Yarrowia lipolytica: one gene and its partner. The protein of the gene in region 1 interacts with the protein of each later gene in a biochemical or structural test. Links are inferred from orthologs where the notes say so. Each region holds a gene or a part of one and is shown on either strand. Other genes may lie near its edges.

Region 1 (3,926 bases):
ACAATCTCCTCGTCCGAAGTTTGGGTGGCAGTGGGAGAAGCAGTGGCGGAGGACTCCACAGACACAGCCTTGTGAATAGGAGAGGCCGTAGACTTGGGGAAGAATGAAGGAGTTCCTGACTGAGAAACGGGAGCCATTTCAAGCGAGTCAGGGTCGTTCAAACCATTTAACACGGAGTTGTCTCCAGCCGCAGAGAAAGACACTGACTTCTTTCGCTGCTGGCTGTTCGGAGTACTGAGAGATGATTTGAGAGGAGCCTTGGAAGGAGTATCATGGACGTTTTGGTGCTGGTGAGGATCCTCCAGCTCAGGGTCCTCGCCCTGAGTCAGACGTCGCAGCTCAGCCTCGTCGCCAGAACGGTCAATGACCAGCTTTCGGATCTCTCGTCGAGGCACAAAGGCGTCCGACCCCAGCAAGAACTCATCTGTCTTGGGAGAGAACAGAGAGTGGCGAGGCTTGCTGGCCGTGGACATAGATGTGTTGCCCACGCTAGACACAGAAGTGTTGCCAGCAGAGGCGACCTCGGGTAGAGAGATTCGCTCAAACCGGTCCTCCGGGTAGTTTCGCTGGTGCGCAACATGCTCGGAAGCAATGGCAGACGTCTTCTTTCGAGGCTGGAACAGTGGTCGAGACGACGAAAGGTAAGATGCAGAAGATACGCCGTTGTTGCCGCTCTTGGCTCCGCTCTTGGAGGTTAGAGAGGTGGTCAGAGGATCCTTGGCAGTGCCGTTGGAACCAGAAGAGGTCAGAGCAGGAGGAGTCTGACCAGAGAACAAGGGGTTGTTCGAGTAGGGGTTCTGGTCAATGGACGCCGTGAGCGAAGGAGTCTGGTTGTTTCTGGCACCCATGTTGTTCATGTTATTGTTATTCATGGCATTGTTGTTGCCGAACAGACCGCCACCAGTAGAGGTGTTAGCGTTATTGTTGGCGTTATTGTTACCGAACAATCCACCGCCAGTGTTGCTGGTGTTAGCGTTGTTGTTGCCAAACAGACCTCCTCCGGTGTTGGAGGTGTTGGTGGTGTTGTTGCTGCCAAACAGACCTCCTCCAGTAGTCGCAGGCTTGGCACCAAACAGACCTCCACCGGTGGTAGCAGAGGTGTTGGAGGCGGCGTTGTTGTTTCCAAACAGCCCTCCGCCAGTGGTGTTGGTAGTGGTGGTTGAGCTGTTGTTTCCGAAAAGACCGCCGGTTGCAGGCTTGTTCTGGCCGAAGAGGCCTCCTCCGGTGGCTCCAGTGTTGGAAGAGGCATTGTTGTTGTTCTGGCCAAACGAGAAGCCTCCTCCAGTAGTACCGGTCGAGGCAGGAGTGGTGGTGTTCTGGCCAAACAGCCCTCCAGTAGCAGGTTTGTTCTGGCCAAACAAACCGCCACCGGTGGTCCCAGTGTTGGCAGTGTTGTTGTTCTGGCCAAACCCTCCGAAACCTCCACCAGTGTTTGTGTTAGTGTTGTTATTATTGCCGAACAATCCACCGCCTGTATTGGTGTTAGTGTTGTTGTTAGTGTTGCCAAACAGTCCTCCGCCGGTTGTAGTGCCTGTGTTGGTTGCTCCGAAACCGGTAGTTGCGGGCTTCTGTCCAAACAGGCCTCCTCCAGAAGTGTTGTTGTTCGCACCAAATGCGTTATTCGTAGTGTTGGTGTTGTTTGTCTGACCGAACAGACCTCCCCCGCTGTTGTTGGTGTTATTGTTCTGACCAAACAGCCCTCCACCTGAGGTATTGTTGTTAGCCTGGCCAAACATTCCGCCGCCGGTGTTGGTGTTGGTGTTGGTGTTGGTGTTGCCAAAGAGACCACCCCCAGTGTTGTTGGTCTGGCCGAAACTGGTGGTAGCAGGCTTATTCTGACCGAAACCGAAGCCAGTAGAGGTGGAAGTCTGGCCAAATCCCCCCGAGGTGTTGTTGGTGGTGTTATTGTTACCGAACAGACCTCCGCCAGAGTTGTTGGTGGTGTTGTTCTGGCCAAATCCTCCGCCGAAACCGCCAGTGGTGTTGGTGTTAGCGTTGTTCTGTCCGAATCCACCTCCGAAGCCACTGGTGGTGTTGGAGGTGTTGTTGGTGCTTCCGAACATGCCTCCACCAGTGTTGCCACTGCCGAAAGACGAGGTACCACCAAAGGGCGAGGGCTTGGCAGCCCCAAATGCACCGGTGTTGCTAGTGGCGTTGTTGTTCTGACCGAATCCGCCGAATCCACCAGTGTTGCTGGTGGTGTTGGAGCCAAAGCCTCCAGAAGTGGACGAGGTACCAAATCCACCACCAGTGTTGGTGTTGGAGCTTCCAAACAGGCCCCCAGTAGCGGGTTTGTTCTGGCCGAACCCGCCACCAAAAGTATTGCCACCCGAAGTGGAAGAGTTTCCAAACGGCGAGTTGTTGGTGTTGGAAGAAGATCCAAAGGGAGAAGCGGTGTTGGCAGCCCCAAAGGTGTTGGTGGCCGTGGCGCCAGCAGTGCCGTACTGCTTACCCTGTTGGTAATCAGCCAGCCGCAGCTCCTCCTGAGACCAAGTGCGATACTGAGGCATCATGGTGATGGTCTCGTAGATGTTGGTCATCATCTTTCCGTTGGCAGTATCCTTGTCGGTAAACGGCTGAAAGGGAGTAAGAGTGGTACCGGGGCATTGACCAGGAGAAGGGGTCGAAGACGAGCCGAAGGGGGATGAAGAAGCTGCCCCAAACGCATTGGTGGAGGTGTTGGTGTTCGAGGCTCCAAATCCACCGCCACCAAAAGTGCTGGTGGCTGGCTTAGCCCCAAACATTCCGCCTCCAGAAGATGCATTGTTGGTGTTGCCGAAAAGACCGCCGCCAGACGAGTTGTTGTTGTTACCGAACGACGAGCCGCCGCCAAATGTCGTGTTGCTGCTTCCGAACATGGCTTTCAAGACGGGAGCAATGAGATCTTGGTGTGATGTTGAGTCTGTGTCAGCCTTTTTTTTCCTGCCTATAAATCATTAAATTGTATGAGTTGGGAGGTGGTTCGCAGGTAGGGTAACTCAACTTTGGGCATGTGTGAGGAGCAACTTGAGCAGTCAGTATCAACTTTGAAAGTGTTTCAAGCAACAAAATTAAATTTTACTGAAATAGTGGAGAAACGAGCTCACGAGTCTGTTTGTCCGATGTTTCTTTTCTGAGGGGCTCATATATCATGTCCCATGTTTTGTAGGGTTTCGCCACTTACAAATATTGTCAATAGTTGACCTTTTCTCAGATGTATGTATACGATTAAATGTATTGTGTTGTATGTATTGTTGCATGCATAAACTGATCTTGCTGGAATGTGTAACAACAGGACGTGTCAGGTTGTGTGTGTACATATTGTACTCTGCGAACGCAGTGTTTATCTTACCTGCATTCTTTGATGAGTATTACTCGTTGTTATTGGTTTTCTTTATGCAACTACTATTTATGCAACGCGTCGTTATAGAGCTCCTATGGTTGTTCTGAGGACATCTTAATTATTTTGTTCTACGGAAATACATTTTCAGGGTTTTTCATTTTTGATTTCTGGGATGTTTTTTTATTTTTTATTTTTTATTTTTAATCTTTGGATGTATTACACACTTTTTGTTTATCCTAATGATCCATTTTTCTTTTCTCGTTTTTTCTTTTTTATATTTTTTTTAACTAATGATTCATTACAGCTCAATTTTTTTTTATTCTGATGATTCATTACTCAATTTTTTTATTCTAATCAGCTGACTAATCAAATGTACGGTATTCTACGTCCAATTTTCTTTTTTCAATATCGTTAAACATGCCTGGCTAGCTCAATCGGTAGAGCGTGAGACTCTTATTCTTAGGTGTCATCTCAAGGCTGTGGGTTCAAGCCCCACGTCGGGCTTTTTTAGTCTCCATTCTTCATTTGATTACTAATAATAATCATAAGACTGCGTATGATAAGGCAATAATATCGCTTCAAACGCAACAAAGGCTCATTTTTC
Region 2 (3,821 bases), on another chromosome or scaffold:
GATTGTACTAGCGTGAGAGGTTGTTGCTGACCAGAAGAGTTATTGTAACGTTGAAAAGGTAATTCGGCCAGCTGTTTACAATAGGTAGTCTGACCTGGTACAGTATACTCTTCCTCCTAACAATCCTCGAAGTACATGAGAAGAGGCATTGGTAGTCTTCAGAATGACTGGCTACTCATAATTGGGGGTGTCCTATGATGCCTCTACTGTTACTTGTACGAACACAAGTACATACTATGGTTGTGCAAGCAAGACGAAACGCTCTCAAGAACACCACCTGCCTGAATTTGTAACATTTGCGTACAGCACTTGTAGCTACAGCATGATACATACTGGAAGAAAGGGTGTGCAGTCGCTAGTTTAAGATACTACAAGATATTACAACACTAATTTATCATCAATAAAGACGAATCAAATAGAGGGATGTGCTTTCGTTGTTTACTCCCTTGTTTCACCATTTTTTCACTGTTCTTTTGATCATAATATTCAGAAGCTGACTCCACTGTCTGCCTCCTTCTTTTGCCTATTCTGCCTCGCCTTTTACAAGGAACTATTTTTCGCGCCGTGCTCTGCATTAAGTTTGTGCGCGTGTCATTTTGTTTCATTTGGACGGGATGTAGACAAGGCACCAGGAGGGGGATAATAAGAGACTGACAGTAGATAAATATCCATAAAATATATATGAGAACCCGTAGCTCCCATATGTCCGTAGAACAAAAAAAAAACACGTACCATCATCTCTCTAGCTTGCTTCCGCTATCAGGGCTCAGATATGCATAAGATCAGGTGCTCGCGCACACAAGGCAACTTTCATCACCCTACCAGCACAACTACAACCACACCCGACTATGGACTTTCTCACCAAGGCCATTGGCACCGTCTCGTCGTACGGCTCCAAGCTGCCGTTTGTGCTGGGCGACGCGACGCAAAAGGCCAGCGAGGGCAGATCGCTATGGACGGTATATGATGCGACCCTCAAGTCCAATTCTTCCGACTGCACCGTGTTTGAATTTGTCGCTGACCAGACATATCCTCGTGACCGCATTGTTGTTGTCAAACACTTCGCACGGTCGCTCAAAACTTATCGTTTTCCGGGTATTCTCAAGGTCCACGACACGGTTGAAACAGACACTTCGGTACACGTTGTGACTGAAAGATGCAGATCTCTGGCACAGGTGATCCGAGACTCCAAGGACGAGCTATCGGCCGACCGAATTTTGTGGGGACTCTACTTTGTGACCGAAACGCTCAAACAAATCAACGCAGAAGGAGCTTCAACTCACGGCAACATCTCTCTCGACTCCATCTTCATCACAGCTTCTGGAGAATGGAAGGTGGGGGGTCTGGAACTTATCACCGCCCAGAAAGACGCTCAGAGTGCTCTGGCTTCATTTGGACCTCTTCTTCCTAACTCCTCAAACAATGCCCCTCCTGAAATCAAGAACCAAGGATACCAGTCTGCCCAGAGCGCAGCCTCCAAGCTGGCCATTGATTCCTGGCAGTTTGGAAACCTGCTGCAGTCTCTCTACACAGCTGTGGGTGTGGATATGCCTGCTGGAATGCCCGCCATGGTATCTCAGATGACCAGCGTCAAGCCTGAGAAGCGACCTCGTATCCCCAAGTTCCTGGAACAGGCGCAGGTCTCGTTTTTCGGCGACCATGACATGATTTCCGTGTCCCAGGACATCTCTCAGTTCCATATCATTTCCGAACCCATGGAGCGACGCCATGTGCTGGAAACACTTACAAAATTTAGGCAGGCGTTCCCCCCTGCATACCTGGCTTCCAGCGTTATCCCCGAGCTCCTTAGAGCTCTGACTCCACCTACACCGTCGTCATCTCAGATCAACTTGTCCAACGACCCCGGTGTCTTCCAATCTGACTCAGAGAGACCCCAGATTCTCGTATGCATCTTGGCCCTGGCTGAGGGACTGTCTTCCAAGGACTATGCAACTCTGGTGATCCCCACCATCGCCAAGATGTACACTTGTCCCGATAGACCTATTCGAATGGCTCTTCTGGAGGCCCTGCCTTCTTATGCCCCCCATGTGTCCGAGAAGGTGGCCTCTGATCAGATTTTCCCTCAGTTTATCACCGGTTTCTCCGATACATCCCCTCTCATTCGAGAGTCCACTGTAAAGGCTGTGTTGCCGCTGATTCCTCATCTTAATTCCCGAATCAAAAACAACGATCTTCTGCGCTACCTCGCCAAGACTCACAACGACAAGGAGCCCGGTATTCGAACGAACACCACCGTCATTCTCGGCAAGATTGCTGACGAGCTGTCTTCCTCTGCACGAACAGGTATTCTGGTGACTGCGTTTGGTCGAGCTCTCAAGGACCCCTTCGTACACACACGAAACGCTGCTCTTTTGGCATTGGCCTCCAACATGGACATTTTCGATGCGTCCTCCATCGTCAACAAGGTGCTGCCTGCCATTGCTCCTAGTCTCATTGACAACGATCCTGCTATTCGCGCTCAAGCGAAATTGACCTTTGACGAGTTTCTGGCTGAAGTTGTCAAGCATACCTATAATCTGGATGATGATACCGAGATCACTGAGCCTCCTCAGTCGTCAGTTACACTCTTGGCCACCAAACAGAAGGAGAAGGATGCATCCAAGACCGAGGCAGGCTCTGCGTGGTCTCTTTCGTGGTCCTCTCCTTTCACATTTGGTACTAAAACCCAATCCACATCTTCCTCCACTGCCGGAACTCCCGTGGTGGCTCAAGGCACCATCTCTCGACAGGAGTCCCCTGCTCCTATTGTTGACGAAGTTGATTCACTGGCTTCCGCAGCCCGAACCATGTCCATCAAGCCCAAGAGCGGTCTCTCTCTCGGCTCCACCAAGCCCAAGCTTGCTGCTAGTGGCCTAGGTATCAAAAGTACTCTTGCTACAAAGAAACCAGCTGCTCCTCCTACCCTGCAAGACAACGACGGCTGGGGTCTGGATGACAACTGGGACGATGGATCTGACGGCGAGGTGGTCATCAAGGAGGCCCCCAAAACTAAGCCTGCTCCCAAGACCAAGAAGCCTGCCAAACTGGATCTGGATGACGATGAAGATGGAGATGATGATGGCTGGGACAATTGGTAGGACTAATGGTTCATATAGATGATATTGCCGATGACGGGAGTCCGTGAAAATAAGAGTTGAAAAGAGACTCGTGTATGTAAATCTCCACATTATTAATATTGGTTTGTACGCTGTTCGTTCATTTGAAAGTCAATTAATCTATACCATTTTTTCTATGAAGTTTTAGTTAGTCTACCATCGGGAGTTGGAAAGAGGAGCGGAGTTGGAGCCGGTGATGTCGGAACCTCGTCCTCCACCATAGCCACCGCCGCCGTAGCCACCTCGTCGGTAACCACCACGGCCGCCACGGCCGCCTCGACCGCCTCGGCCTCCCCAGCCTCCTCGGCCACCTCGGCCACCGCCCATCTCCTCCAGCTTGGGGTCGATATGCTGCTTGGCCTCTCGCAGGATGACGAGAAGGTCTCGGGCCTGCTTTCGGTTGTCCTCGGTGAAGTAGGTGTAAGCGGTACCCTTGGTGCCGGCTCGACCAGTTCGACCGATTCGGTGGACATAGTCCTCGGAGTTGGAGGGGTAGTCGTAGTTGATAACGAAGTTGATACCCTTGACATCTAGAGTTAGTATTTGGAAGAACAGAATAAATGAATGTGGAAGTTCAACATATGAAGCAAAGGAAAGGATGGTACTACACAAACATGAATAAGTGGCGACAAGTACAGAAAACTCGTCATCCGTCATGATGAACACATACAATACAATATGCTCGTGCTTAGAGTTACTCACAGT

The links.
Region 2: the proteins of YALI1_F35938g (region 1) and YALI1_E32636g form a complex in vitro, tested with the Saccharomyces cerevisiae proteins (2 studies listed by BioGRID). The link is inferred for Yarrowia lipolytica from reciprocal best matches to the Saccharomyces cerevisiae genes NUP116 and CEX1.

What each region holds. Positions count from the first base shown.
Region 1 is NC_090775.1:3,592,750-3,596,675, reverse strand, and holds the start of YALI1_F35938g (uncharacterized protein), read right to left. Parts: upstream 2,859-3,926; coding exon 1-2,858. UniProt on the Saccharomyces cerevisiae protein: Functions as a component of the nuclear pore complex (NPC).
Region 2 is NC_090774.1:3,262,822-3,266,642, forward strand, and holds YALI1_E32636g (uncharacterized protein), read left to right. Parts: upstream 1-848; coding exon 849-3,098; downstream 3,099-3,821. Other genes in the region: YALI1_E32664g (uncharacterized protein), read right to left, coding at 3,270-3,646. UniProt on the Saccharomyces cerevisiae protein: Component of the nuclear tRNA export machinery that my collect tRNA from the nuclear tRNA export receptors of the aminoacylation-dependent export and may deliver aminoacylated tRNAs to the translation machinery pathway at the nuclear pore complex.